2 linked regions of the Lytechinus pictus genome follow. The protein of the gene in region 1 interacts with the protein of each later gene in a pairwise test. Links are inferred from orthologs where the notes say so. Each region holds a gene or a part of one and is shown in the gene's direction. Other genes may lie near its edges. The genes, in order: arf-GAP with GTPase, ANK repeat and PH domain-containing protein 1-like; general vesicular transport factor p115-like.

Evidence for each region.
Region 2: the proteins of arf-GAP with GTPase, ANK repeat and PH domain-containing protein 1-like (region 1) and general vesicular transport factor p115-like interact in a two-hybrid assay, tested with the Caenorhabditis elegans proteins (2 studies listed by BioGRID). The link is inferred for Lytechinus pictus from reciprocal best matches to the Caenorhabditis elegans genes cnt-2 and uso-1.

The regions. Positions count from the first base shown.
Region 1 is NC_087247.1:13,568,209-13,583,928, reverse strand, and holds the start of arf-GAP with GTPase, ANK repeat and PH domain-containing protein 1-like, read left to right. Parts: upstream 1-7,489; 5' UTR 7,490-7,545; intron 7,546-10,346; 5' UTR 10,347-10,412; coding exon 10,413-10,434; intron 10,435-11,529; coding exon 11,530-11,757; intron 11,758-15,720.
Region 2 is NC_087262.1:22,088,114-22,104,452, reverse strand, and holds the start of general vesicular transport factor p115-like, read left to right. Parts: upstream 1-9,283; 5' UTR 9,284-9,375; coding exon 9,376-9,441; intron 9,442-11,114; coding exon 11,115-11,201; intron 11,202-11,779; coding exon 11,780-11,924; intron 11,925-12,755; coding exon 12,756-12,874; intron 12,875-13,758; coding exon 13,759-13,917; intron 13,918-14,814; coding exon 14,815-15,020; intron 15,021-15,720; coding exon 15,721-15,811; intron 15,812-16,144; coding exon 16,145-16,285; intron 16,286-16,339. Other genes in the region: very long chain fatty acid elongase 5-like, read right to left, coding at 4,582-5,017, 5,700-5,824, 6,249-6,392.

The DNA.
Region 1 (15,720 bases):
AAATTTTCCTCCCACTCCGATCTGAAAGATATTTGCTTTACGACTAGGAATGGGGGACATTGAACACACCCATTGTTTCTCCTATTCCGTTAAACGTGTTTTTCAATCATAATTCATGTTGCTGTTTAAATTTGAAAATCGAAATTGAATACACGGGTCCATATCTGTTGGCTACTGGTTGGCTGCAGCAAAGACATGGTCGATGCAGTGTGCCAAGTACATTTTAATCACATTCTAGAAGAAAATAAAAAACAAATGCAGATTTCTTTTTTACTGTTGGCTGTTAACAATGTTAACCTGTTGGCTCCTGGAAAGACATGATCAACGCAGTGCGCACCCAGATTTACTCCATAGTTTGATCTGCGAGGGGGGGGGGGGGACTCGACCAAAAAAGTGGTAGGTATGTGCTGCGGGCGAGGCACAAAACGGGGGCTGTGGAGCGGGCTTATTGTAAAAAGGAGGGTCCTCGAAACAGGCTTAGGAACTACAAATGTTTGTGAAGACGGGGGTCCTTGGAACGGGTCACCTGCGTGTGAGTGCGTATGCATCCCTATGGAACGGGCATACGTGCATGCAGCTAGCTCGGCGGCACGGGCGCCAGGTGCGCTCAGGCAGAAGCGATGGTCGAACAGCGTTCTGTGGCTGCTTTTCACCAAAATTGCAGCTCATTGTAGCAGATCAATGCGGTCGGAACGGGGTTACAAAAAATATGCGAAGCTTTGGAACAGATTTCTTTCTTTTTTTCTAGATGAGAAGAAGATGCTATGCTTTGGAGCGGCTTTAATGTTCTTTTTCTCAATAAGATAAAAATGCTATGCCTTGGAACGGAAATTTGAGTGTAAAAATGGGGGTCCCCTCCGCGGCACATACCCACCACGCATTATATACTGAGTGCCCCCCCCCCCCTTTCCAGGGTTTGATCATGGAGCTCCATGGTTTAATCCAGGAATACCATTCAGTATTCATAACCACAACCATCCTGTATATCATACGAAGCTATTTGGTATGAATCTTCAACCAAATTCATCAGGCATGCCTAAATTCATTAATAATGCATGTATAACTCCAAATGACCAGGTATAGTGCTTGATTTAATTCATTACTCATCTGAAGCATTGGTGTATTGATTACAATACAACTTGATGCTCTTTCATTCCTATCTTTCCAGTGTTATAGCGTATTGTTTTGAAGTCGGGAGATTGTAGAGGTTATGATACTGAGCTGTCATTATCCATAAACCAAAAATCTGTACACAACACTGATGCTGTCCATGTTGAAAGTAGGAGAGATCTTCGAAATTTCTCTTTTTTCTTCAAAAACTGTTTGCTTTTTTTCTAATATCACAGATAAGAAAACAGACACCATTAAACATTGGAAAGGAAATTCTTTTGTTTCAAATTTTCTTTTTAAACTTGATTAAAATGTACATGTACATGATGATGACATTCTCTGCGTTGACATGTAATGGGGAATTCCCTTAATTTCTCGGAAATGCTTGGAACTCCCCTCAAAGTTGTCAGGATCATAGGTCATAATTAGTTTTGCTTTGATTGCAGTTCACAAAGTGTGAACTGCAGAGTCATTAATTTTTTGTTTTGCTTTTATTGGTCATTATTATCATATGATGTCCTTTCATTTCTTATGTACATGTATGTTTTGTAGATGAAAGTGGACTTTCTATTCTGCTATTTTTGGAGTATGATTTAAACATTTCTTAAAACTTTCGTGTGATTTAGGTTTGGTTATTTCCAAACATCATTTTCCAACATGACTCTGATAAAGAAGGTTTATAGAAACTTGTTGAGAACAATGGGCATTTTAAAGGGTAAGAACTTCATCATTTTTTATTGTTTGAGGATGATTTTACTTTGAAAATATGCATATTATGCATGTAGGTATAAATGTAAGGTAATGATTACACAAATTTTGAATTCAGTGCTAGATGAAATGAAAGATTATTCTGGAACACATGTACAAATGTGATGTAAAATCTGATAGGCTTAAGATTAAAGTTAGCTATTTTGGGGGAAATTATTGGAAATAATTTGGGTCTCCAATAATAACAAATTGCCTTTTTTTGTAAAACCTCTTGAGCAAGATTAAAATAGGATTAAAACTCAGGATGCACTGTTTGTATTAAAATTGAATGTCTGTCTGATGAGTGGTAACTAAATAAATCAGTGTCTAAAGAGCATTTATTTCTTCTTTTTTTATTTTTTTATGAAGAGTTTTCAAAATAATCAGAGCCTATAGTTGAAAAAAAAATATACAGTATGTTCAACAGTTTGTCCTTGTAATGGCAATTTCAACTTCACTTCTTGTGGTTTAGAAATTTAAATATAAATCTAAAAAATGAATAAAAATCTACTTTGAAAGTAGATTTTTACTTTCCAAATTCATAAATTTTAAGGAAAATAGTTTAGTGAATGTCTGGACGAACGCTTGAAAAATGATATATGTATTTGATGTATAATGTTTGATTCTTTTTAAAAGTTTCATGAAAATTCTGAATGTCTTAGTAAGAATAAATAATCAAATATCTAAATATTGTATTGTTTTTTGTTGTTTCAGAGGGTTTTACTTTCTTTCCTAATTACGTGCCAGCAATATCTCCTGTGTGTCTTTGATTATTTCGAGTATATTTATTCTCTCTTCAAAATGTAGCTTTTTTCATTTCCCTGATTTTATTAAAATATAACTCTTTTCAACCCTTCCTTTTTGTGAGGAATTGAGACCCAGTCTCCAGTTGAAAACCAAATACATCCACGGCTCCACCAGAATTGAGGAATTTCCCATGGTTTTTAGTTACACCTTTGGACACCCCCCTGAATAGAAAACTTGAAGAAATGAAAACACATTTGCAAGGACTATTTCTGTTTATACTGTGGATTAAAGGCACCATTGTTAGAATTTCCAGTGGTAGCTTGCTTGAAAATTTTCTTCTTTTTGTACTTTTTTCAACAATTCATTACCCTCAAGTCCCAAATGCCTCCCTTTTATATTTTCTTCACTAAAAGACATTGTGTTCTTTAAAACCCATGGTTACAACATTTTTAAGAACATTTTTGTTCAGCTTGGTTTGTTATTTCTTTTAGCCTGTAGCTTGAATTGCAATGGTATAAAGTAGTATTTTAGTAAAGCTTTGAGCTATGCTGTTCTCTTATTTTCATATTTTGATGCAGAACATGTAGTTGTAACCTTACAAAAATTGATTTTATCATTTCAGAGTTAGTGGATACAATTTTTTACTAAAATTTAATGATTACAAACATTATTAGTCATAACAACTAAATAACAGTAAGATATGGAACATGATACAAGTCCTATTTTTATAAGAATGATTACCCTTTCTTGGGGGTGGACAAATTACAAATATTTTTGCAACTGATTTGTTGCTTTATCTGACCCAACTTTAGAGTTGACAAAGTGATGAAAATGAGAATATTTCTAGAAAGATAGCTTAGTCAACACCAAACATTTGAAGCTTGTTTTCTTGATAGTTGTTGTATAATTATTTTATCAATAAAAACTGAATTATATAAAAAAAAAATTGAAGCTATGATTTCTAATGGAATAGAAAGCAACGGGAAGGGCATGAAGAGAATAGCCGGATGAAGGATTTATGGAATGTTTATGAAAAAATATGTTTTATCCTCCAAATTACTTAAGCAGTTGGTATTGTTCACTCTTGTGGAAAATGATTTATTCTGAAGTGAATACTGGGATTTGCTATGTTGATATACTGAGTTCAGCTAAGGTCATGCATGAAATAATGAAAATGAAAATGAAAACGTTTTACCGAACGTACTATTGGTTTTCATGATTTAGTGCATGTAATGTATAGGTCTTATTGATTTGCCTGCAAATATACTAGTCATGGCAGTTGGCATAAACGCTGGGGAAGCAAATCACCGAGCTGTGTATATACTATTATGTGTAGCCAATAACCAAATCTCAGAATTTTGACAACTCTAATTCAAAAGTTGCCAATTTGTTTTTAAATAGAGATTTCATTGTTTTCACAGCATTACCAATTTATGAAGAGTAGCTGAATTTAATGACTTCTCTTCAGCAATGGTAAAACCCATTGCACTGGAAATAATCACAGGTTTTTTTTAATATCTAGATTAGTATAATTCTCCCATTCTAATCATCTTCCATTTTAGGCGGTTTCAGAACGCCTCGAAGTTCGTCAGTTCTAGGTATTTTCTGATCGGGAAATCTACCCCGATCAGAAAATACCAGGTAATATTGGCAATGTGAAAGCAAATTACGCGTAATCTCCCCGAAAGAAAATACCCACTAAATAGTATGTACTTGTAAAAATTACGAGAACTATCGCGGGGATTTTTCCAAGGTCGCAGGTATTTTGGCAATGTGAAAGCAATTTACGGGAACTTTTAGCCGAGCGTGTAGTTGGGCGCTGGCGCCGTGGGTGGCTGCTGAGCTAGTGATTTTGAATCTCGCGCCTTGCCTGCTGATCAGACCATACTGCGCATGCTTGTAACTTCAGGAACTTATCCCGAAGGGTATGTTTCGGGCGGTGTGAATGCAGGAATAATTAATGGGTATTTTTTAGCCTAAAAAAGTTCTCGTAATTTAACGGGGATTCTTATGATCGAGGCGGTTTTAAACCACCTAGTGATTGCAATAGAATTCAGGAAAAAAAATGGAAACTGTAAGAACTAAGTTAATGTGGACGAACTGCACCTCTATGCGCTTTATATAAAATTTCCACAAGCTATTGTATAATTGTAACACAAAAGTTGTTTTTAAAACATAGAAATTGCATATGGTGCACTCTTTTATGATTTTTTAATGATATTCAGTGATGCTTTGGACACAAGGTCAATGAAGAAAAAAAATGTTTTTCTTAATGAAATTCTCTGTCAGCCATAATTCAATGAAAGTTTTTACCATCCAATTTTTTCCTTTAAATTGATGTCAGTGATGAAAATATCCAAATAAATGAAACGAGACTCTTTATATCAAACATAAAGCACAAAACACATCATGTTTACCTTTTCTTCTCAATTGCACTGGTTTTGCTCGAAAAATTATTTGATCAGCGTTATGATTCACTGAATTGGCGACAGCTGTATTTTCCTCGAATAGGAATTGACAATGAAGAGAATGAAGAGACATTGACTTTGACATTTCTCCTGCATTGCCAATTTAAGTATTTTAGTGATAATTTTTCTTCAGACATTTTTCAACATTGGACGAAAAAATACTCATTCAATAACATTGGCAAATATCCAGCAAGTGAAAAGATGTTACTCTTTATTTTGTAGCACAATTGGTATGGCTCTGCTTCAAAAGTCATCATTAGGCCAAACCATAAAATTATAATTTGATTGAACAACTGTAAGTATTATACTTGATCATGAAATAGCAAGAAACGATAAGTCACTCCCACTTAGTAAATCAATCACATTAAACATACCCAGTGTATGTGCCCATACATCAGAGAAATGTCTGCCACACATGACTCTGATTATCTACTCTTTTGGCATTAGGTTCATATTCAAAGTAAATCCACAAATGCCTTATTTGTTAAAGCTTATTAGAAAATATGTTGGTTTGGGGCTTTCTTTTTCTCTCTTTCTTCCCTTTTATCTTTTTATTTCTTTTACAGCTTTGTTAGCTCCATTTTCATGTCCATGACAGTTTTTTATAAACCATGACCCTCAGATTTCTTTTTTTTTGGGGGGTGTACTTCATTTAGTTTATAATCATGATGTTAAATCAGAATTCTTGTAAATGTCAATTCATGTCATGCTAAATATACAAGGAAAGAAAAAACAATATTCATAATTTGTGAAGTCGTCATGATTAATTTCTTTTATTCATCGCTGTTGGATTTTTTATGATAAAGTTTCATTTGTATATGCAAGTGAGCTGTACATACCTTGATGCATACTCTATTTCTTTTATTGCTTTGATTCATAAATCCTTTCTTGATTGTATGTCCGACTCTGCCTACATTTTCTTCACAAACTTCTCAAGGTGTGATCGTTTAACAGCTTTACAACTTTTCAGATGAGTTAAATGAGAAAACATAGATAAATCATTTTATGAATGTGCTAATCGATGTATATTCAGGGATTTCTTGGAATTGCAAGATGAAATTAAGAAAGGGAAAGTAGAAACTCATACCAGATATCAAGAGCCTTTAGAAAGTGTCTATCGAACCCAATAATGTTTGGATTGCTTCCTAACAAGACGCTGATAGGTCATTATCAGACTCTACACTACAATTAATTTCCTGTTTTGTTAAGGGGTCAACACAATCATGATGGAAGTACTTGATAATTTGTTATTCTAACAGGCTGGAAATGTGTTTGTGATTCAATGAAATATGTCTGGCAGACTTAAGAGGCTTTGGTTGCCTCATTTCATTTAAATCGAAAATGATGAGTGGTTCAGACATTTTTAATAATAAAAAGAAAAGGGAGCATGTTATTTTTCTTTCCTATATATTTAATTTGTTCATCTAAACAACAAGATATGTGTTCAAGATCATCTAGTATTTTTGAGTTGTGATTTTGTGGAATATCTTTCAATGCACAGTAATGATAATGATAGCTGGATTTATAACATTTTTTTCCAAGGGATACAAATTGCAACTCTCCCAGATTGAGTGCAGCACAACGATGATAATAAATTTAGTGTTGCCTTTGAATTGCAATCTCGTGATTAAACCAATGTTATATTCTTCTCATTCAATCTCAAGGGAAAGTCATCTAAAAGATTGTTTCGGCTGCTGTTGCATAAAATTTATACTATTAAGACAACTTTACCATTTAGTGGTAACTACATGTACCACCATGGTAACAATGCTTTACAGCCTGTCAGAAACAGAGATTTCATGGGAGGTGCCATTGTAGATGGCCAAGTTAACATCCATGCAATGTGGGCCCTGATCAGGATAATTTGCCTAATCAGAAACAGAGAGATAATTTTCGTTAAACACAGGTTGGTTGTGATAGGCCTATAGTATGATTAAAGTGTTGTTGTAAGGCCTGGGGCCCGTCTTACAAAGAGTTGCGATTGATCCGATCAATTGCAACTATGGAAAGCCAGCAAAGTCAACATTTCAAGTTCAAAATTTGTTCTAGATATGAATGTATATCCATAAATTCATTGATTTCTTGACAATTTGGTGTGTTCTCATAATTTGTTTACAAAGGACATTTCACAAATTTCCAGTAGAAAAAATTATGGCACTGATGGATTTCCATAGAGTTACGATTGATTGGATTGATCGTAACTCTTTGTAAGACGGGGCCCTGATATATGAACTGTCATGTGTAGTCTTCCTTGCAAAACATTCAAATTTCTCCATTTTACAAAGTGTTTTCATATCTTCTTTTGATGAGTACACACGTATCTGCTCAATTGTTACTTACACCATTTCCTGTTCATTTTTGCATCTTTATAGAAATTCTTTTTCATCTTTTCACTTTTTTTTCATTGCTGACAGATTCATTTGTGAACAGCCAAGAATGGACACTGAGCAGAACAGTCCCAGAACTGAAATTGGTAAGTAATTTATTTATTCTTGATATTTGTGTAAACTAAAGTTCTTTAATCTGTTCAACTTTAAATGGGTAAAAAAACAACTTATAAATGAATAATAATGGTAATAACTTAAGTCTTATATAGCGCTTTTCATGAAATCCATATCAAAGCGCTTTACAATGTAGAACATAAGAAATATACAAACAAAAGTGAATTAGAAATAAAAGAACAAAAAAAAGTGCAAGATATGTATTTATTATTTAAATACTGACACCCCCACACTCACAAAAAAGCCCACTAGATCAATGTTACCACCACCTTTCATTGCCTACATCATTTTATGATGAAAATGACAGGCATTTATGCCATTTATCTAGAAATTAAGTATTCCAAGGCATTTACTGTTATTACCCTGGCATTAACCAGAACTGTCATTGGTTTGAGTATTTTGCATAAGATTTTTTTCTGCTTTTAAACTGGCATTGAAAAATATTTCCTACATATATCCTATGATAAATCGACTACCTAAAATCTTGTGCATCTTGATGTATTATTTGTTGTCCAAACCCCAGATGTCCTTGTTTATCGATTTCTTCTAGCCTGCGTCAGGGTTTTAATCTCATTGGCATTTAGCCTGATTCCCCACCTCTTACGTCAATGCAGCTAATAAAGAAGAGCCTTCACGGAGAATTCTTTGATAATGAAATCTACAAATTTGTAGGTATAAGATAATTGAGTATTTCTCTACATGGATAGATGGCTATAGACATGTTTAGCTGATTGATATATGTCTCATTCTGTCTTTAGCATCCTCTTTTAGGAGAATCTATGTACTAAAACAATTGTACATTGTTGTCAATTCAATCACTCGTACAAAAATATTCTGCTATGGTTGCTAATCTTTGTGTTAAGTGCCCCAGGAGCAGAGAGGTAGTAGTCTGCTATGCAGACTCTGAATGGCTCGTGACGTGGGATCTCAGCGCGCTTCGCGCAATCCAGCCTGCAAGGGCGAGCAAAGCGAGCCATTTCTGCAGCCACAGTAGACCTAGTCTGCTATGCAGACTTCTTAAATCAGCTGTGATACACACACTGCAGATGTGGAACTACATTGTAGACTAGAGAAGTAGAGCCAGTCAAGTGAAATTTTAGCTTAAGTTTGAAAGGAAGTGGAGAAGTTAGTAGTCGCCATAATCATTTTCAAACATTACTTCAAAGATAAATGCATTAGAAGGAGACATGCTTCTCTCTTTGAACTATAACTGCCAGTACTAATATTTTATTTGTTAGATATTTTGAAGAATGTGCATCCGAGGCATTGTATCAAGGCCAGTCATAAACTTGAGAAGAGTATTTGATATCATGGCTCATGGCATTATCCATAAGAATTACTGGTACCGGTTCATTATTTATATTGACAGTATAAATGCTTTTTATAAAGATGTAGATAACTTAATTTGAAGATTTTAGATTCAATGATAAGCATTATGATATGCGCTAGTATTATTCTCATATCTCAGAGTTGGTGAATTACGATAATAAACACAAGATCTTACGACAATATTTTCTTTTCCTGTGTCGGTGCTCCCAGATGAAATCTCATATTCCTTTTCAAGTTCATTTTGACATGTCTGTGTTGTGACAAGCGTCCAATGCTAGAGGGTATTGGTACTCATGCTCGGAAGAAGATAAAGTGGTGCGGTGTAGGACTCGATCCATGCTTAAACATTCTAAGCTAGTATGAGTGGTACTGGGTGTTAATAACAAATCCTATAGATGTCTTCATTTCGGCATAAAGTTGAAGTCATATATCGATTTATTTTACCTATATTTTTCCTTTATGATTTTGATGATAAATAATATTCAGTTTTTGTATATCACAATAGTTATATTCTCTAAGACTATGCACTTCCAAAGGCACCTTGATATACAAATAATACAATGAGATTCTTAATTAAGGTACATAATGTAAATGTATCCTGAAAGTATGAATTGTACTCCTTCATGTTATTGTGTCAGAGAAAAATAACTGCAATCGGGCTTCATAACAAAATGGATTCTAACAATAACAAGGATTAGAGCAACATTTCAACCGAGAAATAGAGTCATGATCAGTTTTTGTTACACAGTGAGCAAGATGTCTTCTACTGCTCACCATTTTTCAGTTGTTTTTAGCCTCTTTTCTCTGAAGAGAATAGACTGCCCTTTTTGTAGAAAAAATGTGTTTATTTTATTGCTCTTATTCCAGCATTTTGTTACCCTTTTGAAAACAACCTAAAGATTGTGAAGTTTGTCTTTTCCCATAGGAATCTGTATAAAAACGGTGAACTTTGTTGTTTCTGTATTAAATGGTACAGTTGTGTCTTATGTGTTGGAATTATGCTGACCATAGCCCAGTGTTACTGGATGGGTCTACTCTAAAATTTGGTAGGAGCATGTGGGTCATAGTCAGAGAAAGACTCTCTATCTATCCACAATATGACATTATTAAAGATTTTAAGCAATCTGTGAATGTTCCCAGTCTTAGTTCTATAACAATTCTTTATTAAGTTTTGAATAAAACCTTTCGCAGGTTAAACATGTTCTAATTGTGTATTCCATGGTCATATCAAACCATGGTCATATCCATGTTTTGACATAATACACATAATGGTTGTGTTGACCAAAGGCAGCCATTTTGTGAGATATTTTGTGCATCTAGGTGGACGAGACGACCCTCTCCCATAGATTTTTGTATGTGTTGTGTCCCCCATCCCCCCCCCCTTTTTCCCCAGAATTGCCATTGATGTTGTTGACATTATTAATATATTGTTACCTTTTAACAGGGTGTTGTGGGAAGCTTAACAAGCGGGAAATCAGCTTTGGTACATCGTTACCTGACGGGATCATACATGCAAGAGGAATCTCCAGAAGGTAAGCCCAAATCATACCACAGTCACACCTACGAAACGGACTCCGAACCGACCGATCGTATATGTATGTCATAGCATGATAGCCTTGGTCAGGCTGGAGTCTGTTTGCTAATGTGACTGTCCTGTCCTCGACTGTAGCGTCATGTTCTTAGCCTAAGTTGCTTATTTCTTTCAAAGATAGCAGCATGCATCATGGTATTGCAAGAATTAAAGATAAATTCCAGTTGTGGGAACGATCTCAAAATGACTTTTTCCAGAATTTGATATAAAGATCACCAAAGTGTCTGTTTGTATGAATAAAAAATATGTGCCAAAGGATTCCGGAAGAAATTGTGTAATTGCTGAGAAATAAGCAAAATAAGCGCGGATTCGGTCACTTCCGTCGGGTCTTTATTCCAGCAATAATAATACGCTGTCCCACGTGTGCCTATCTGTGTTGGCGATCTTCAGTGTGATCGTTTTTTAGCTAGATATTATGATTTCACAAAGTTCAGTTTATGTAACTGTACCAGATCTAGATCCACGATGATATATCAATACTTTACCTTGGTTTTACAGACTTTCTCACGAAATCAGTGTTTTACTGCAACTACGTTCAATCAGCTTTAATGCTGGTACAGGGACTGCACTACAGGGGGAGGGGGCACCCACCCCTCTGTGATTTTTCAAGAAGCACCTCCCTCCCCCCAAAAAGAGGGAAAAGAAGAAAAAGGAAGAAGAAAGAAAGAATTTGCTTGAGAACAAATGACATTACCTCTAGAATGTCTTGTCCTGTCCCTTTGCTTGTATGTGTATGTAAATAAATTCATCATAAAGTTTGCAGCAGTATACGTGGTAATAAGTTTAATAATTATAACAGTATATTAATCGAGGTTAGCCGGTTCCGTTCTGAAAACCTGTCTCCCAGCGGACCCTGCTTTTATTGTGAATTGCATAATGAATTGCATCATAAGTTTTATAACAGGTTTACCACCTCAAACTTTGTGATACGATTTAACTGCTTTTACTAACAGGTGATTTTCAAATATTAAAACAGGCAAAATAAATCCACAAAATGTGAAGAATATGTATTATTTATTCATTTTGTATTTTTTAGGAGGGAGATTCAAGAAGGAGATCGTTGTGGATGACAGGAGTTACCTGCTCCTCATCAGAGATGAAGGAGGCCCTCCTGAGCTCCAGTTCTGCTCCTGGGTGGATGCCGTCATCTTGGTCTTCAGTGTGGAGGACGAGATGAGTTTTAACATGCTGTATAACTTCTATGCCAAGATAGCCCACTACCGCAACACGGCAGACCTTCCCATGATTCTAGTGGGTACCCAAGGTGAGTTAGTCTCAAGGATCTGGGTTCATGTGTGAACTAACCCTTTGCTTACTGGAGCCGGGTGATACCTGTACAAAGCCTATTAGAATCACAGCATCCAGTAGTCGATAGGTTAACCCTTTGCCTACTGGAACCTGGTGATCCCTGTACAAAGCCTATGGGAATCACATAATACAGTAGTCAACAGGTTAACCATTGCTTACTGGAACCGGGTGATATCTGTACTAAGCCTATGGTAATCACAGAATTTAGTGTCCAACAGGTTGGTGGATGCCAGCCATAAAGGCCCAAATTCACAAAGGTGGTTCTGAAGTCATGGTCTGAACTCGGGTTTATATAGTTTTCATGTCTTGATTACCCTTAATTTAGTGCTTAGGCCTATATTGAGAAAACATCCATTAATGAATGATTTCATTACAGTGCCATAAAATGATATTTGCTGCTGAGGTTACAGCATTCATGAGTCCACTGTTTTTATTTTGATTGATTTGCATAAAACAATAGAGTCATGAATGTTGTAATACGCATCAATTGTGATATTGTTATTCCTCAATATATGTGCTGAAATAAGCACAATTAGTGAAAAAATGAATAAACTATGGTTTCAAACCACAGATTCAAAACCATCTTTGTGAATTCGGGCAAAAAAGTTTGATAATATAAAAACAACCTCAACTACAAGTTGAAAAGCAATAAATGTCATATTTCTTCATCACGGTGAACTGTGTGCTTGACTCAAGCAAACAGATGTTGGGATACCAGTGCATTTGTCAATACCCTATGATATATTTTTTTGGTATACCTATCAGTGTTTCTAGCTATGATATTTCCAGCTTTTGTGGCTTGTTTATTCATCTTTCTTCTCTTTCATAACCATCTCTTAAAGTTAAAGTTCGTCCATTCTTTCCCCTTCAATTTGTGACTCATTCAAGGCCAAGGCATACAAGAATAGCGCAGTATTCTGAAGTGTGTGACTCAGCTTAACAGTGCAACCTTGAGTTCGAAAATTAAAAGGCACTGCATTTTTGTGAGCTCATTAGTGGGTCGATGTGAAAACACGATCAATACAATTACTTTGACTGGGTAAATTTGGGCTTTATTTGAAAAGGAAGATTTTGAAGAATGAACAGAAAGAGTGAAGGTTAACCTTCAAGGGTTTTTAAAAATTGATTTGCCACTTGCCACCTTATTGTTACCGTAGAAAGAGGTCGAAGGAGTGGTAGGCATTTGTTTCACTTCACAAGAGGAACACCTTGAAAGCAATGGTTTGGCTTTTTTTTACCGGCAGTGATGTCAGGTGGTGCCTAGTTGCCTACCTAAGTCATGAGATTTTGCTTGGGTCTAACAAATTTTGCTCAAGAAAATTAATTAATTTGGGGTGAAATTGAGACTGTAACAAATTTGTCATGAACAGTTCATATTATAGGTTTAAAAGTTTGAACATGAATGAAATGCAGTTTGTGACAATTTTTTTTTTTATTTGTGAGGAAGGAGATGATGTTGATCTTGATGAACACTATCTACATGACAGTATGATGATAAACTTTCGGTATGAACATATCAAACTCTTTATCATCATCATGTGCTGCTTATACATGTAGGTATGCCTCATTAGCTGTAAGCCACAATTACATTGTCACCCAGCTGCATAGATCCTGCAGTGTGGTTTGTGATTCCTCCTTTCTCTCTCCCTTTCTCTTTCTCTCTCTCTCTTTCTCTCTCTCTCTCTCTCATTCTTTATTTCTTTCACTCCCCATCCCCTTATGCTCTTGATTTTTTTTAAAATGTATAATTTTGCATTGTGAATTGTTCAGTATTCACATGAAGTGTAATAAAGATTTTTAAAGTTATCTAGTGCCCTCTCTTGGCATTGTTTTTATATTTATTTTAAAATGTAATTTGAGCACCAAATTTACCAATTTACCAACTGTATGTCAGAAAGCTACTGACAATGATTAAAATAGTAAAATTTTCAGTCAGTTAAATGCTTAGGGACAGGCCATTAAATGCTTGGGTAGATCTATTAAAAAGAAAAGATATGCAGATACTTTTTATTTTGATAAGGCATCCAGTCAAGATAAATTGCAAATTTTGTACAATAAAGCTAATTTTTAATTTCATATGCTCCACATTATAACTCTTTCAGGGCATAAGCTAGTATTAATTAGAATAATGAATGCTCTTTTGGAGAATTTACTAAAACTTAAAAAATTCTTCAACAACAAAATCATATAAGTGATTCATTTGATTAAAATAAATTCAACTTTATCTCCATAAGAAATAGAATTATTCTTTATGGTATGTACTTTACAAAGCTAAAAAAATTTGTATTTTTCTTAAACCCTTGGAACACAAAGGCTAGAAAACCGGCCGTGGAGTGAACTCACAAATACCTGAAAGGCCCGTGACTTGAAGAACATGGGTTCTAATATGATCTTTTAAAAATGTCATCTGGGGATATTCAGTCAATAACTTTAGTTGATAATTTTGTCAAGAAATGGCTTTGATTTGGAAGGTTTTTAGCGTTAAAAAAATTATAACTCTACTAAGGAGGCTCATGCGATAATACACAGTGAATCATCCACTGACTATTGCACTCTTGCAAATCATACTTCAGTCAAAGCAGAGATTTTAAAGATAAAACAGGCACAAAAGATTAGATATTGTCTTATATAAGAAGCCACACAACATCAGCCGGGCCGGGCTTGGGTACCAGCATCGGCAGATGTAGTCTAGTTCTAGACGATATTAAACGAATTTATTTGCACCGATATATACGTTCTATTCCGTGCGTACGCCCAGCCGAGTGTGCGCGCAAAACCGAGAACCTGTACTCCGAGGAAATATTTCCTCGGAGTACAGGTTCTCGGTTTTGCGCGCACACTCGGCTGGGCGTACGCACGGAATAGAACGTATATATCGGTGCAAATAAATTCGTTTAATATCGTCTAGAACTAGACTACGGCAGATGCCGCTTGGGCTCGAATAATGGAAATATTTGAAATGTATTATTTCTTCATTTTTCCATTGTGCTTGATATGCGCAAATAATTCAGGGTAAGGGTCACGAGACTCACGACTGGCCCAAATAATTCAGGATTGAAAGGGTTAAACCGTTTAGGATATTTTGTGTAGGAATTGGCTACTTGTGGTTTTCAAGCAGCACTGTAATTAGTCATTGTCTAAAAAGCCTCTGTTAAGCTTTGGGTTTAAACAAGAGTTCATAAACCAAAAATATATCCAACAAACAGTGTTTCGATGCTAGGTACCTAGAGGGGATTTTGAGTATGTTGAACATTCGGCTTGATATAAGAAGAAGGAGCTCAGTGTCCATCAGATATAAACAAGGTAATTTGATTGCAAAATTATTGTATAACTTATATTTTCCAATTTTTCTGCCTGTCTTATTTTATTTTCGCAATTATTTATAAACTGATGAAAACATCACTGTTAAACTTTGCTCAAATTGGAGTGACATGCTCTTGTCAGACTATGAGGTGTAATTCGAGACAAAGGAGAAATCTGGCTATGAAGAAGGCATAAATGTTGACTGTGCAGCCGAGAATCCAAGTTTACTGAGGAAGTTGTAATTTAATGTTTGCAGTTTCGATGATTGTCAAATATTTGTAATAAAATACACATTTAAAATGTGAAGCTATGTCATGAATTAAATGAGACTGTTGCATGTTTTTGTGAGGCAGTTTCCAACTTTTCAAACGTAAAGCAATCTATTCTTTGAAGAATCCTCTCACAAATATTTAATCCATATGAGAGACTGAGAGTCTGATCTTGGACCGACATCCCTCATCAATAATCTCCATCTCATGAATTCATTGACCAACCAGACTTCTTTTCAGTCACAATATACATCAATTTGGTTTTGAAAGTACTCAAGGAGAGGCGCAGACAATCAGCTTTTCTGCTACAAACCTCTCCATTTACAGATCCTCCAGCGTGTCATCCA
Region 2 (16,339 bases), on another chromosome or scaffold:
GCGGTTTCACGCCCGAACTTGAGGCGATCTTGAGGCAGACTGAATTTATTGAAACCGCCGGTAGCAGACGTTCAACAGGTATGATTGGGATTATATGCTCTGCTATATATAGCATTGAGCACTTTGCACAATCATCGGCATCTACATATCTAAGGATATGTATATATATATATATGTGTATATATATATATTCGAGATCAAGTGTATGGAGAGGGCCGTAGCAAGGTCAATACCTGTCTTCATCAAGCTTTCGGGCACATGCCCTTCATCAGGATCGTGGGGTCCACACTTCACACTTAACTTTACTATAAACAACACACTATACTTACAGACCCTACGATCCTGATGAAGGGCATGTGCCCGAAAGCTTGATGAAGACAGGTATTGACCTTGCTACGGCCCTCTCCATACACTTGATCTCGAATATAATTATGAAGGAGACCCGTACACGTACATCGCCAAGATTGATCACACATTCACACAAACACTCTTAATATATCAAAATACCAATGTTCATGATCAGTATAAGGCATCATAAGTGTCCAGCTACTAAAAAGAATACATAAATGCATAAAGGCAATACATTTTATGGCAGATTGAATTCCATTCAATTCAATTTGTGGCCTTCTTGGAAAATATCAATAAAACACTTTTAAAAGATTAATGAATATTGGCAAATATCAAAATATTGTGAAAATAATACGAGAAATACATTCACACAATTTTTAAAAGATATATAAAATAAAAATTCTATTCCACCATATGAACATAATGATATATGACATAGTTACAGAAATAAACAAATTCACACTGTAGATTAAAAATAGATTCACTGTCAGCCATTCACATATCATATCATAAATACATGCACATTTGAAAGCAAAAGGTAATTCAAACTTTTGTTTATGATCAGACATTTTTTTTTCAAATGATTTGAAAATAACAAATTTAGGCACTTCTGCACAATTCTGAATATTATCATTCCAGTTTTATGGTAAAGTTTTTCTTATTAGATTGAAAGTATGAATAGTAATGAGCACTCTGCATTATTTTCAATTCCCTAGTCAAAACTAAAAAAATAATGATTATTAATCAAACAGACATAAACCTATTCTTTTGGAACAAATTAAAGTTTTTTTTTTTCAATTTGAAAGATTGAATAGAAATGAGCACTTTAAAATTTTCTCACTCATCCACTCAAGCTCAGCAATCAATGCTTGTTAATCCAACAGCCACAAATATATTTCTTTGGAGTGACATGTAGGAAACATTGTTTTGATGGGGTATGTAGCGTACTTATGTGAGATTGGGGTGATTGCACTTGACCTTGAACAAAGTTTGTTTAATCTAAAAGTTTCCATGGTAACAGTCACTGACTGTCCGACACCTACATGTATGCATGGACCAAGCCATTCAGCAGATTTCAAGTCATCGTTTGTGCCCCGGGGGGGCCACTTAAATTGACGAGTGGATACCATGCGCGACCAAAAAAACACGTAAAAAGGATGTCTTTTTCAAGATAGGGCACGTTACGTACGTAAAATAATAAGGGTGTCAAAAAAACTAAAATAATGAAAAAAGGGTATCTATTTTCGCTAGGAAAGCTACTTGTTTAGGGTCAAATTTGCGAGGGTATAAAAAGTTAAGACTAAAATGTTTTATAAAGGATGTACTTTTTGCCCCAAGAGTCAACACTACGTGTTTAGAGTACGATTTGCGCGAGATGTGGGAGGTGGGGCTGTAATAAACCCAACGATGTAGGTAAAGGTAAAACCGACGACCGTAGTTTCCTGATATTGAATTGAATAATCATAATTAGCTCATAAAAACAAATAAAGCAAACAAACTGAACTTTCTGTCTTGATAATCGCCTTCTGATAAGCACAAAATAATGAAAAGCTTAGTAGATAAATGGACAATAAAATTTGCATCATTATTACAAGACCACAATCTTTAAGCAAAATCGCCATAAAAAATTTGACTTACAAAATAAATCTTTATTTTATCATAAAAAGTATTTTCTCTTGAGTTTTATTACAATTAAATTTGTTATTGCGTAGATTGGAACTTGGACCCTAAACATGGTTATGTGAAGTAAATGTACTGTAAAGATAGTAATGTAACTATTCCAAAGAGAAATGCATTCAAAACAAAGGCACTTAACTGTTACATACTAGTCTACGTGCCATTCACATTGTAACTGTTATGCAGCCCTAACAATTCCCTGCATCAAGTAACTGATTCCCCCCCCCCCCCCGGAGAATAAAAGTGACAATTCTTTAGTCATAACTCTGTTGCATTAATCTTTCAAGTAAACATAATAGCAACTTCACCATTACCGGCAACTATCATTAGGCGGTGCTGCACCAGCCCGAGTTTGCTCAATCCCTAGATTTTAGCCCGATCGGTCCCGATCGGCCCTCTTCAGGATTAATCTCGAGATTCAAGAAACCCCGTCTCCACCAGCGCAAGAAGAGCGATTCCTGCTCGAGCGAGGCATCGATGCACTATGGTCTGACGCCGTGAATAAATAATCCTGAGTGCGTCTGCACCTGCGAATTAGCGGGCTAAGTCTCGAGATTAATCCTGTGAACTAGCGCGATAATTGCGTCTTTATTACAAATAATCTTGAGATTGTTCAGATCGGGATAATTTGCCGGATCAGAAATAGCGCACTAATTTGAAATCTCGGGCTGGTGCAGACGGCCCTATTGTAACATTGCTGAATCAAGATCAAGATTTCTGTAAAGTTAATTGCTTTAGTGACAATTACATACAACAAAAATATTATGTTAATGCAAACGGGCCAAAATATCTTGCAGAATATTAAGGCTATAATTCAATTGCAGACAATAATGATCAAATATCAACAACCCCTGTACGAGTTTCCCCTGTTTAAAGTCTACCCTGTGAATCTAGTCTGTTTTTGTGCCATGAAACCTAACAATATTTTGTTCATCATGTTCCTCAAAAGAATTAGCCGACTCATATGACCTACATCGCCATAGAGTATTTGTTTTATATATCTGGTCCCTACAGGTAGATTAAAAAGGCATCCTGTTTTTCATATTTATGTTTACACCCTGAAAATGAAAGTTCTTCCTTTGTTATATCTCTTTTCATTAGATTTCAAATGAAAGATAAATGCTAGTCAACTGTAATTACAGAAACTTTTGTATTTTTTTATCTTAAGCTAGAAGCTAGAACCATGCTTACACCCTGTAGTATCAGCACCAATACAGTTCTCTAAAGTTAACAAAATATTATAATTTGATTGTATGACAGATTTGCATAGTATTTTTTTCTTATTGCCCAATTTCCCTCTCTTCTTCTTCTCTTTTGTAGTAATTCAACCCATTGGCCTGTATTCTGAACTCGGGTTTAAATTGAACCCTGGTTTAAAGTTGTGGTTTAACTATGGAGAGCCAATTGGGGCACAAACCTCTCTTAGTACATGTTTAATGTATCAACTCTAATGGCACTGAAATTATTCATATCTGTCTCAGAATAATAACTGAAATATTTTCTTCATTATGAAAGCAAAGGGAGACAAAATAGTAAATAAAAAAATATACAATATAAGCAGATTTTTTTAGTTTGTGGCTCCCCAAAATTTTAGCACAGAGTTAGACCATGGTCTAAGTTAAACCTGACTTCAGAATACGGGCCATTGAGTTCCATATTGTAGCCTATCATTCCTGTAATTAAACAAAGGAATAATGCACTTAGTGAAGGCAGTGGGTCACAGATGAATTACCGTGTAGTTGGAATTGAGTTAATATTGCATTCAGTATTTTTAAACTTTCACCATTCAAAGATCCTTACTGGCACTCAATGTAACATCAACCCCAATTGAAGAGCAATCATTTACTCCACGAGTCATGATCTCAAAATTATGCCCATGCTGCCAGATTCAGTGAGATAGAATGTGCATGCAGTGGGCGCACCACACCATGAAATTTCCATCATTGGAAACGTACTTGTGACAACACTGATTGCAATGTACAAACATTAGATGCCTAAGTAAGTCTAAACACCAAGACTGCCATGGGCATGTTTTAAGTCAGATTACCCTCTGGTTTAATTACTCCATGGTCAGACTCAATGGCTCGAATTCACAAAGGTGGTTTTGAAACCCACGGTTTAGTCCATGGTTTATGCAGATTTCCTGTATAAATTACGCTTATTTTACTGTGTTTATTAAAAAATGTCCAATGCTGATGCATGCTTTGTCACAGTGCGCCAAATTGACGCCTGTTACCAGGGTTATCCATGCTATTTCATTCATGATTCCACTATTTTTAATTAATGAGTCCACTCTTCAAACAGTGGACTCATGAATGAAATAGCGTACTTAACCATGGCAACAGGCGTCAATTTGGCGCACTGTGACAAAAGCACTTATCAGCATTGGACATTTTTTTATAAACGTGGTAAAATAAGCATAATTTATACAGGAAATGTGCATTAACCATGGACTAAACCGTGGGTTTTCAAAATCACCTTTGTAAATTCGGGCCAATAACTTTGAGTTGATTTGGAATTGGTTTAACTATTTATCTTAGGTACAAATTAATCTCTCTACTCTCCTTTACGTTTACGTAAAAAGGCATTGTAATAGAAAGATGAGAACAAATAGAGCATACTAACACCGTAGAACATAGAATACACACAGAAACCATGATGGAGGTAGCCTATAGTATTATGAATCAAACCTATCAGGAACTGTGTGATCTGAAGCTCGGTGATGTGGCGCTTCCAGGTCGGAGCACCAGGCAGTGTCTTCTGGGCTGTGTAGCCGTAGTAGTAGTAGAGACAGACGTGGACGAACGAATTGATGGAGAGGCCGAAAGCAATTCCGGCCCAGGGAGAGTAGTGGTAAGCAAAGTCTGTGAGGAGGACCATGCTGGCGTGGTGGTAGACGTGAAGGAAAGAGATCTGACGACGCTTGTGGCGCAGGATCATGAACAACGTATCAAGGAGCTCAATGTTCTTGGTGCACCAGTACATGAAGTAACTGCAAGTTACAAGGCAAATATTCTCCATTAATACCATGGACCTCCTAGAAAAGACCTAATAAAGTCTTGCTTTGATCTAACGATCATCATTACCAGATTATTAAGTTTATCTTGGATGGAGAGGCTTGCGGTAACACAATGTATTAAAGTTAGTCCTGAAAAAGACTGCTGGTTTATCTTTGTGACTCCTGAGAAGAGCAAAGAGCTCTTGTGCTTGAAATGTCGAGAATATCAGTTCTTTTAAGAGCTATAACCGAAAGATAAATGAACAGTCTTTTTCAGGACTAACTTAAATGGTGTTACCGTAAACCTCTCAATCCAGTCTTACCACTATGCAAACCTTCAAAGCTCACATTAAGTTCATCTCAATGAAAACATTCAGCAAGGACATTTCAGCCAGCATATGCTGACCTACATATGGCAAGCCATATTTTACCACTTTATCCTTTTTCTTCATATATCAAGATTTAAATCATTGATATCAGGAAATTGAATAATTGATATAAATAAATCACTTTTCATTGTTAACAAAAGAGCAATTCTTTGTCAAGAAATAGGCTAAATAATAAAATGAACATTGTAATGAAGATCATGAGGTGATAATAAGAATAGGTTTTACATGTGTATAGTGTGGAGCAATTTTAAAATCTTGTTGCTGAATCATTTCAAACATTATGCTACCTGTATTCTAGTACATCATTTCCTTCTTTCCTGAAGATGGATCCGGACTTGACCATTCCAACGATGAATCCCAACAGAGTACAGCCACTGATAAAACTACAAGTATAGTTATACACTACCATGATCTATAAAACAAAAAAAATAAAACATCCGTATTTCTAACTTTGCATGTATGGGTTTCTGCATAAATAAAAGAAACAATGTAAGTTAAGAATTTCATAATATATAAAATTGACAAAAATATCTAGGAAGTATGTGAAGGCATCTTATAAGCCAAACTTCTAATAACAAAAAATAATGGAGTACATGATCATGATGATTACATTTAAAATATTTGTATAAATGTAAGTTCGAGTTCGACAAGTGCCACACTAGATGATCTGATATTTATCTGCATGGATTTACAGGATTTTTTTTACTGATTTTGAAAGTTTTCCTCCATTCCTGAAAGGGAAAAAAAATGATTAAGCCTATTTTGACGCAGGAAGGTGGAAAAAACAAAACAAGGTCATTCATGAACTTGATATAGGACAGTCAAACTGAACTTACTTGTCTGAGAGAGTATGGCTTGGTCATTCTTTGGTAGAGCGGTGAAAGAGCGATGAGGATGAGGTATATGATCATAACAGGGAATGACTGTAGGCCAACAAAGGTATTACCAACCTGGTAGAATCTTTCCGAGAGTATAGCCATCTTCCCTCCTGTTTGAAAAAAATAAGAGCTCATTACCATTAAATGGGTACTTGGCCAGGCTGAAAGTATATTTTATTTTCATAAATCTATAGGCTTGTCTATAGGCCTATATTTGTTGAAATCATATTATTTTTATCAGCATGGAGTTCCCTTTAACTGTATACAAAAGACTGCAGTCTCTGTATAATTTGTTGTTCTGCTGAGCTAATGTCTGGCTCCATATTCATTGGGAATATATTAGTATCAATTCAATTTCCCATAATAAGATGGCTATTTCTGTTTACCCTTTGAATACAAAATATTCAAACAGTAAATGGTATATCTTTGGATTTCAAAAGCATTATATTTTTGAAGCTTTTGATTATATCAGTGCCACAAAAAAAAAAGCCTCGCATATTATTTGATGTTGTTGGCATGCCTTCATATAGTACATGTTGTCATTTATTTGATAATTTGGAATCCACATATTTTTTCTTTAAGTGTAATTTAATGTACACTTTTGTGTACTACAAATGGGAGTGGAAATAAGAAACCAATGAATGTCAGGACTTATGTGAGCCACTGTCAAGTGAATGGTGTTTTCACAATATCTAACTTCTTCCATCATAGCGAATAACATTAGATCTGATTCTGTCAAATCTATCATTATGTTTCCCACGCTTTATGTCAGAATATATCTTATTTTTGCCAGGCTTAGCCTTATAATAGGCTTAACACGACATTAATAAGCATTTACGGCAAGGCTGAATGACATTTAGAGTCTACATACTATCGTCATGGGACATGCCAGTTGGCATAGTTCTGCTGCAAATTATGACTGGACAAAGCCATAATTGTATTCGTCAGCCTTAAAAGGCGCGTGCCTAACGTTAGTTAGGTCTACTTCACGTTCGATCCCCGCATTTCTTATATTACCATATGAAAGTCTATATGTGGGACTGGATTAAAATCATGTTTTCAAAAAATATGTTTAATTTGGATCTTGCAAATCAAATACCAAAACACTAACTAATTTCACATATTTTCCAACAGAGTGGATCAAATATTGACATCTCAGTAATATAAAATGATCTATAAATACAAAATAAATGGCACACTTACCCGTTTCAGCTATTTTTCTTGCAGAAATTTAGTTCTCAACTTCTCGTTTTCTGCTGCAAGCTATTTAGTCTTAGTTTGAAGAATAATTTAGTCATCATCATGATACACGATACACTATCCTTACTTGTTTATTATCACTCATAATAAAGCAAGTTTATAATTAACAAGGTCATAAATGAACCTTATTCCTTACTTAAATTCTAACTGCTTATAACCTTCTTGATTGCATGAAATTAATTAATAAAAAAGTGTCACTGACAATCAACAAAATACGTATGTGAATGCAGACTAATCATTTTGCTACCCTAGATCTCGTGTTCGGTACTTTTTTGTTAGGGTGGGCGTGGCATTTTCGGAGTCGAGTTTTGTTGGATTATTAAACGAGCAAAGGATGAACAAATATATTAACCTAACTAGATTAGAATAGATCAATAGAACTGTCTATTTTGCTATATTTTCCTAGAATTTTAAGTTTGATTTTCTAAATCGTAATTTTATATTCATTGTTTAATTTGTTTCATAAGAAAGTTGTGAGAAAGGGGGAAAAATGTTGCAAACAATTATTTCTGAATGTAGACGAAGGAAATGATTTACGGTATTTTTTTTTCGGTTAAAGACAAATTTGTCCCTTTCAAGTTGTTGTACAGGGGCCGGTGAACGGTTTTGAATGTGTGTGTGTGTGGAGGGGGATGACTGCAGGGCCCTGGAAACTATTTTTTATAACAGGGGGTTCTGATGTGCAGCAATTTTGAGACAATTTCAAGTGCCGCCCTGTTCCCGATATTCATTTTCAATTTGGTAAATTATGTTGATTTAATTTGATAAAACATACAAAGAAAAAATATTTTTTTTATATATACAGGGGCGGATCCAGGATTTTTCGAAAGGGGAAGTTAGCACATTAATTACGTTCACAAAAAAATTTGACAAGCAAAAAAAAAGATCTTCACTTTCAAGGGGGGGGGGGGCACACTTCTGTTTTAACGGCAGTGTATATATTTCCCTGTAATTGGCTTTGTGAACTAAGAAAACTTAGGGCCCATACATGTATATATTGTTTCCATGGTAGTGTGAATGTATTATTTTCCAGGGGGGAGGAGGGCAGGCGGAATGTTTAAAACACTCAGACCCTTTAGGCCTATACAAAAAGGAGGACAAGAGCGTAACGACTAAGCCGAATTGGAGGGATCGTTGCATGTTTTTTATGTAAATAAATCTGGAGCACAGTTTTGGTTTTTCTTTTTAAATTTGCAATAAAATGAGTTTTGAAAGAAGCAAAAATGATCATATAATCCCAGCTAAGTAAACTCCCACTGCGTATATGGCAAAGGAATTAAGTTTGTCTTAATTATGGTCACTTCGGCTGAATGCTCATCATAAAGATTATACTTGATTATATTACCAATCAACCAATTAATCAATCGATCGATCGATCAATCAATCAATCAATCAATCCATTTGTGTTCAAAGCATAGAGATATATTTCTATGGTCTAAAGAGATCCCCCGACTCGACTAGACTGTGAAGACCAATTTCTTTAGCCAGAGTAGTAAATTAAAAAAAAAAAACAAGTGCACATCTAGTTTCCAATAATGCATATAGCATTTCCATTTATTTGAAAGCAGGATAAAAGAGCATTGTAGATTAAATGCCTTGCTCATGGGCATAGGTACCGTGGCCGGGGATCGAACCCCGGACTTTCCATGTATAGCCTTAGACCACTTTCCATGTATAGCCTTAGACCACTCGGCCACGGCACCTCAACTAACTCTGTCTTTAGCGCAATACCGCCATCTACGTTTACAATTTGCACTTGTTTTGTGCTACGTGTTCCACACTTAATCCTTTCTTGACTCGCAAAATAACTGAATTTTCCAGGAAAATGAGCTTTTTCAGTCGGGTTTTGGGAGGAAACACTCCAGAAAATCAACAGTCAGGGGCAGATACGGTATGTTGAAATGAGTTAATCAATTTCAGCTCTCTATATCCATTTGTTTGGGCCGTAAAACATGCACATATTCACGAATGATATTTAGAAATTATGAGCCAGTCCCATGCGTTACAATTCCTGTCTGTAATATTAAAATGTCAAATACATGTAGCCTAGACTCTAATTGTTTAACACCTTATTTTCAACTGTTCACTTTTAGTTTGGATGTAGACCCAACTATAGTTTTTGTTTCTGTTTTGATTTAATACATGATGATGGATTTACCTTCATAAGGTCCATGTTTCTTAAAATCTTGTTCTTTGACTTTGGTCTTTGTTGCACTGCAGCTGCTTAACTAGGATTTTTGTCAAAGTTTGTGAAAAAAAATGAAGTTAACTAAGTCTTAGAGTAAAGTGCCCAATATCGGACACTTAATCATAATTGGACCCCCCAAAAAAAAATACAATTATTGCATCAAATAAAAATCATGTGTATTTCTGTAGTACAAATGTGGAATATTAATGTCATAAAAAATAGAATTGAAAAAAATATGGTGAGCGGAAATTATTTACTTATTACCAGAAGCTTGTTTTTTGCCAAATATCGGATGCAGTTTCCAAATGTTGGACACATAGAGTTGTGCACGGCGATCAATTTCAGCGATTTAAATCACGCTCTAAACCCCCAAATAATTGCTTGATTGTTGAGAGAATAACTTATTTCAGCTGTGCAAATGCCAATTTTAATTGTCACTGCACTATTAGAAATAGGTAAATAATAATTATTTACTTACCCGATGGACCTCTTTCGGCTCTAAACATCGGACGTCTTCGCTCAGCTGCGTTTTGAAAACGAGCATGCGCGCGTCAACAGCACGCATTTCCAATTTAATTGGTCGATATGTCCGATGTTTGGGAGAGTGCCATATTTGGAAGGGTGTCAAAATTCTCGTTGTGGGGAACCCCTGCGGCGGCCATTGCAGGTTTTTTGCGATAGATTGAACATGTGCAATCTCGGCGGCGATATTTCCAGTGAAAATCACTTCCCCCTTACAACCTTTCTGAGTCCATAATTAGCGAGGGTCATAAGAATCTTTGGAAGTCAAAATCATGGATTTTACCCCTGGATTTAACCCCTGGAATATTTATTTAAGCTTCAACCTGGATCTACTGTGTGCAATTCATAGCAGGTATATTAATGTATTACATACAAGTCCCCTACCATTGCAGGTCCCTTTAGTTGTGGGGATGGAGTTGAAGTCATTTTAGTTGGATATTTGGAACTGTCCGATATTTGGGGACTTTACTCTAACTTGAATTGCAGAGTTTGGCTTACATGTAGTAATCGGCCAATGTGTATTGCTTAGTTACTTTCCATTACAAAGGCCGAGATGGTGGCGTAAAAATACTCGTTCAAATTAGTTCATATGTGTTTACATGATTTCACATGCAAATTTGATTACATTAAAAGGGTTTAGCAAACACTTAGAATGTTAAATATTACAATGTCACAAAATGAACAATGTTGAATTGTGTAATGTAGACAAGACTTCCAGGGGCATCCCACTTTATATCTATCCAAACAGTACTCATTAAAAAATTCAAGATTATTTCTCATCTATGTGACTGTCCCTATATTTCTTCTTTAACTAAAGAAGTAATAGCATGAATATATCTCCTGTATAATTCTAGATTGCCAAGATATGTGATCGAGTGCAGTCTTCCACGCTCCTGGATGACAGACGAGATGCAGTCAGGGCTCTCAAAGCTCTCTCCAAGGTAAGACACCATGGTCTTAAATTTACTCCAAATAATAAATGTAAGTTTGTTCTAAATATCGGACAGCCACTTATAATATATTCTGAGAAGGATTGCCATTTAAAGAGTTATACGTGGCACAGATTTTTGTTACGGTGCCCTATTTAGCATTTTTGTAGCCATAATATTGATGCTTGCTTTTAGTTATAAAGCCTGATTATGATTAGGTATAATGTAAAAAAAAATGAGAGACAAATAGAAAAACAACAAAATGTTGTACACTAGTTTGTGAAGTGATATCAATTTGAATCAGCTAAAGTTGGGGAAAGTAATGGAAATATTTAAAATACTGATACTTTTGCCAACTTTTATGTGAAACTTAAAAACATTTCTTTACAAACATACTTTCCAATGTTAATGAAAGGAAGTTTGTTGAGAATATAAATCAATCTTTCTGAATTCCATGTACTGTACATGTATGTTGCTCTATCCACCATTTCTTATAAGTATTACTTTTTCTTGTTTGTTACAGTCTCATTTTTGTTTATAGTTATGTATTTAGGGAAATGATATTATTTTTCATCTGTTTACATTGACAGAAATATCGGCTAGAGGTCGGTACCCAAGCCATGGATATATTGGTGAATGTCTTGGAGACTGACCGGACCGATGCTGAGATCACTGGTTATGCTCTGGATACGCTCTTCAATCTTCTATCAGCACACACAGAGGAGGAGGAACAAAGTAAGATTTCATTAAATGCTCTGTCTTTAAAGTTTATCTACAACTTTGTTATTAATTTGATTTTGATGTTTTTTTAGGTAAGTGTTATCATTATTAACAGGACTGGGATGAAAAACTGTATATATATATATATATACTGATCTTGTCATTTAGTCAAAATATGTCTGAATCGATCGATCAATGAGTAAATAAAATGTGTTATTCGAACATTCAAATCTTTAAAAATATAGGGACTGATATTTCCATTTTGGCCATTTATTGTGTGTGTGATGTTATAAACATTAAACAAATTAAGAATTTTTTTTCAGGAATATTGTTATTTTCAAAGTAAAAGCCATTTGAACACTAACATTTATTCTCTTTTGTTAAAAGATGTATAGGGATATATTTCCTGACATTTCTGCCCTATTCCCTGCTTGAGAATTTTGTAATTCCAAAATAAAAATTGAGCAGGATCAGAGTTTATAGATATTGCAATAGTAAATTTTACATGTACATGTATATCAGGGGCCCTGTCTTACAAAGAGTTGCGATTGATCCGATCAATTGTAACTATGGACGGCCAGCAATGTCAACATTTATTATGTATGTTTGTTCAAAAAATATATCTAGATATGATTGTATATCCATAAATTGATTGATATCTTGACAATTTGGTGTGTTCTCCTTTGTTTACAAAGGACAGTTTGCAAATTTCCTGTAGAAAAAAATTATGACACTGATGGATTTCCATAGAGTCACGATCGATCGGATCAATCGTAACTTTTTGTAAGACGGGGCCCTGATTTTAGATTACATCCGTCACATAGCATGATACATATTGAATTTCAGATGAAGAATTTCCAAATGGTGACATAATGGATCCTGAGCAGATGAAGCTGTGTGCCCAGTTTGCTGAAATATTCATCAAGAATCCAAATAATATTCCACTTGTACTTGGGTTACTAGAGGTAGGTGCACTGTTCTCTCATACATTCAGTTCCTTTTTTTCTCCCTTGTATTTCTTAGTTGTTTCATTATGGTGTTGCCTGTTTCTGTGATTGTCAGAAATTGCTGAAAACTAAATGAGACTTCACCTTGAAATACTTTCGATATCTGACATCTTCCAGGAATTTGCATTCTTTGAATTATGTATAATTTTGGCAGAACTAAGAAAATTTCAATGAAAGTAAATATATTAGTCGGTATTTCTCTAATTGCATTAGTCGTCTTTATTTTTGTGGCTACTTTATTATGATTAACCTTTGTAATATTAGTCATTTGAGTAAAAATGATATGAGAAGAAAAAATCTGTTAACATGACACAATCAGGGAAATTCATCTCTTTTGGTCAGCTATTGCTTGCAGATGCTGCTGGCTTTGTCAGATCTTCATCATCTTAATAAAAGAACATTTTCTCATGTTATATCATCAATCAGATAAGGTATTTTGGGCCATTCAGTTAACCCATTGCCTGCTGGAACCAGGTGTTCCCTCTATAAAGCCGATTGGAATTACACAGAATTCAGTAGTCAATATGATTGCCTAAGGGGGCTGTCATGGTCTAGTGGTTCTGACTCTTTACTTTCAAACAGAGGGTCCTGGGTTTGAATCTGAGGCATGGCATGTTTTCCTTCAGCAAGTAATTTTACTTACATTGTGCTGCACTCAACCCAGGTGAGATGAATGGGGACCGATCAGAATGTGTTCCTGCTGGAAATTGCAGCTCAATCTTAAGCTGGGGCAGTAGCAATAGTGCACCTCAAAGTATATTAGAAGATCTTGGTAGCTGGCACTATACATATACCAATTATCATTATTATTAACTATTCTATGTTTCTTTTTCTCTGCACAGGACTATGAGTTCCGAGTAAGATGGCCGGCCATCAAGCTTTTGACCACCTTACTCTCCTACCAAGCTAGTCAGGTTCAGCAGTATGTCCTGGGTAGTCCTATGGGTGTGTCCAAGATGATGGACTTACTCTCAGACAGCAGAGAGGTCATTCGCAATGATGTAAGTACTCCCAATTGTTTGTTGAAGTTATTAAGTTTTGTGGGAGTCTACATGATATTGCACAATTAGTGGGTTGTATGCTGTAAAAGATGGCATAAGAGGAAAATGGAGACCAAAGATTACATGATAAGATGTGATGGAGAAGGAAAGAAGTAAGTTTCGTCTTTGCAATTTAAAAAGAAGAGGAGCGAGGGAGTGTCATTGTGCAAAAATCAGTAATCTTTCATAGCATGGAAAATGCAGACTGGAATAAATGGTGATGATGATGTATGATGTTAAACTTATGTAAAATGATGATGAAGGACATTTTTTTTTGTATATATTTTTTTTCTTTCAATAATTATATTTTGTTGTAGAAACACTATTTGTCAACTTACGATTTCATTCTTTATTCTTCTGACCAAGTAATATATTTGTAGTAGATAAAGTTGAAACACTGGGCCTTTCATATGCGAATGACTGAATGATACTATGCTTTAAATCAAATTCTAAGATCTTGTAGGGCCTACTGTTGCTGATCCAACTAACCAAACGAAACAACAACATCCAGAAGATTGTGGCCTTTGAGAATGCCTTTGAGCGTCTCCTGGAGACCATGTCAGAACTAGATGGTGGCGATGGTGCATATCACAGAATTGATAGTCCTTAAGCTAAAAATACTATGATTACATCCTAAGATGTCATATGAAATCTGTAGGGCCTGCTCTTGCTGATCCAACTAACCAAAGGGAATGCCAACATCCAGAAGATTGTGGCCTTTGGGAATGCCTTTGAGCATCTCCTGGAAATCATGTCAGAAGTAGGTGGCAGTCTTAGTGTATATCACAGTTAGAATTGATAGGCCTTATAGCTACTAATACTATGATTAAATCCGAACATGCTCTATGATCTCTGCAGGGCCTACTTCTGCTGATCCAACTGACCAAAGGAAATGCCAACATCCAGAAGATTGTGGCCTTTGAGAATGCCTTTGAGCGTCTTTTGGAGATCATGTCAGAGGAAGGTGGCAGCGATGGTGGCATCGTGGTTGAAGACTGTCTCCTGCTGCTTATCAACCTCTTGAAGAAGAATAGTTCTAACCAGTCCTTCTTCAAGGAAGGAGGGTGAGTCTCTTCTTAAATTTTTCTTGGGTGTTTTTTAGAGTGTGATTCAAGTGGATCTGAAATATAACTGAGAGCCAGCAATGCCAGATTTGTTAAACTTTTATTATTATTATTATTTGTTTGGCGTCACCTGTGCCTGGGAGGCGAAAAGCGAACTGAATCACTATGACCCGCAGGTCTCTCCTCCCGATATAACTGATTGGGGGGAATGCAGGTGGACCACTACACCGGGGTTTCCCCCTACTCTTATACGAATAGTGCAGTGGGTTCTTAACGTGCAAAGGTGGTTACTCTCCTCTACACAGGGCCTCCATTTAACGTCCTATCCGACGGACGGAGTGTTTTCCATTGTAACATAGCCTGCATCTATGAAACATGGGAGAGACGTTTACACACAACGCACTGGCTTCAGTCATCCGCCCGGGGTGGACTCGAACCCACGATCTTTGTTTGAGAAAAGTGCTTTCAAGAGATGTGTACTTGTACTTGTTTATTCAACTGGGGGCAGGGCAGTGCTTATGTCTTCTAGATGGCATATATTTGACTTCCAAAAATGATTTTTAATTCATTTACCTTGGTAAATATGAAATTTAGATTCAACTGAATTGATTAATATTACGTCATGTTATATATGTAGAAATTACATTATATTACAAACGAAAAGTTATTTAATTCATTTTTGATTTTTTTTTCATTTCAGCTTGATCCAGCGGATCACTCCTTTCTTCAGTATTCAGAAAGATTCATCATGGTCAGCTCAGAAGGTCAACAATGTTCATCTTATGTTACAGGTAATGTCTTAAACCCATTTACTACTGAATCCTGTAATTGCCATAAGGGTGATACAGAGACTTCTCAGCCTTAGTAGTCACATTGTTAATAGATACCTGATTAATGAGATATAGCTTAAAAGTTAGCAGTTTTTACCAGAAATTTAGAAGGAAAACTATATATGTAGTCATAATTCCACTTTTTCATGACAACAGGCCTAACATCTTAGTGAAAAGATTAATAGATTTTGATTTTGTCAAATGCACTTAGCAGAGAATGTCACCTGTGATGTGAAAATGCAAATTTTATGAGAAAGCAACAAATACTCTGTGTGATTCCTTATATCCCTTTAGGTTGTGCGGATTCTTGTTGCTCCAAGCAATCCTCAGCAAGCAACGGGAGCCTGTCAGAAGGTTATCCATCAATGTGGTCTTCTAAAGTTACTCTGTGATGTCCTCATGGCCAGTGGAGTCCCAGCTGATATTCTTACAGAGGTGAATATTTCCCTCAGATTCATTTCGCTTAATAGTATGCTTAATATATAGATT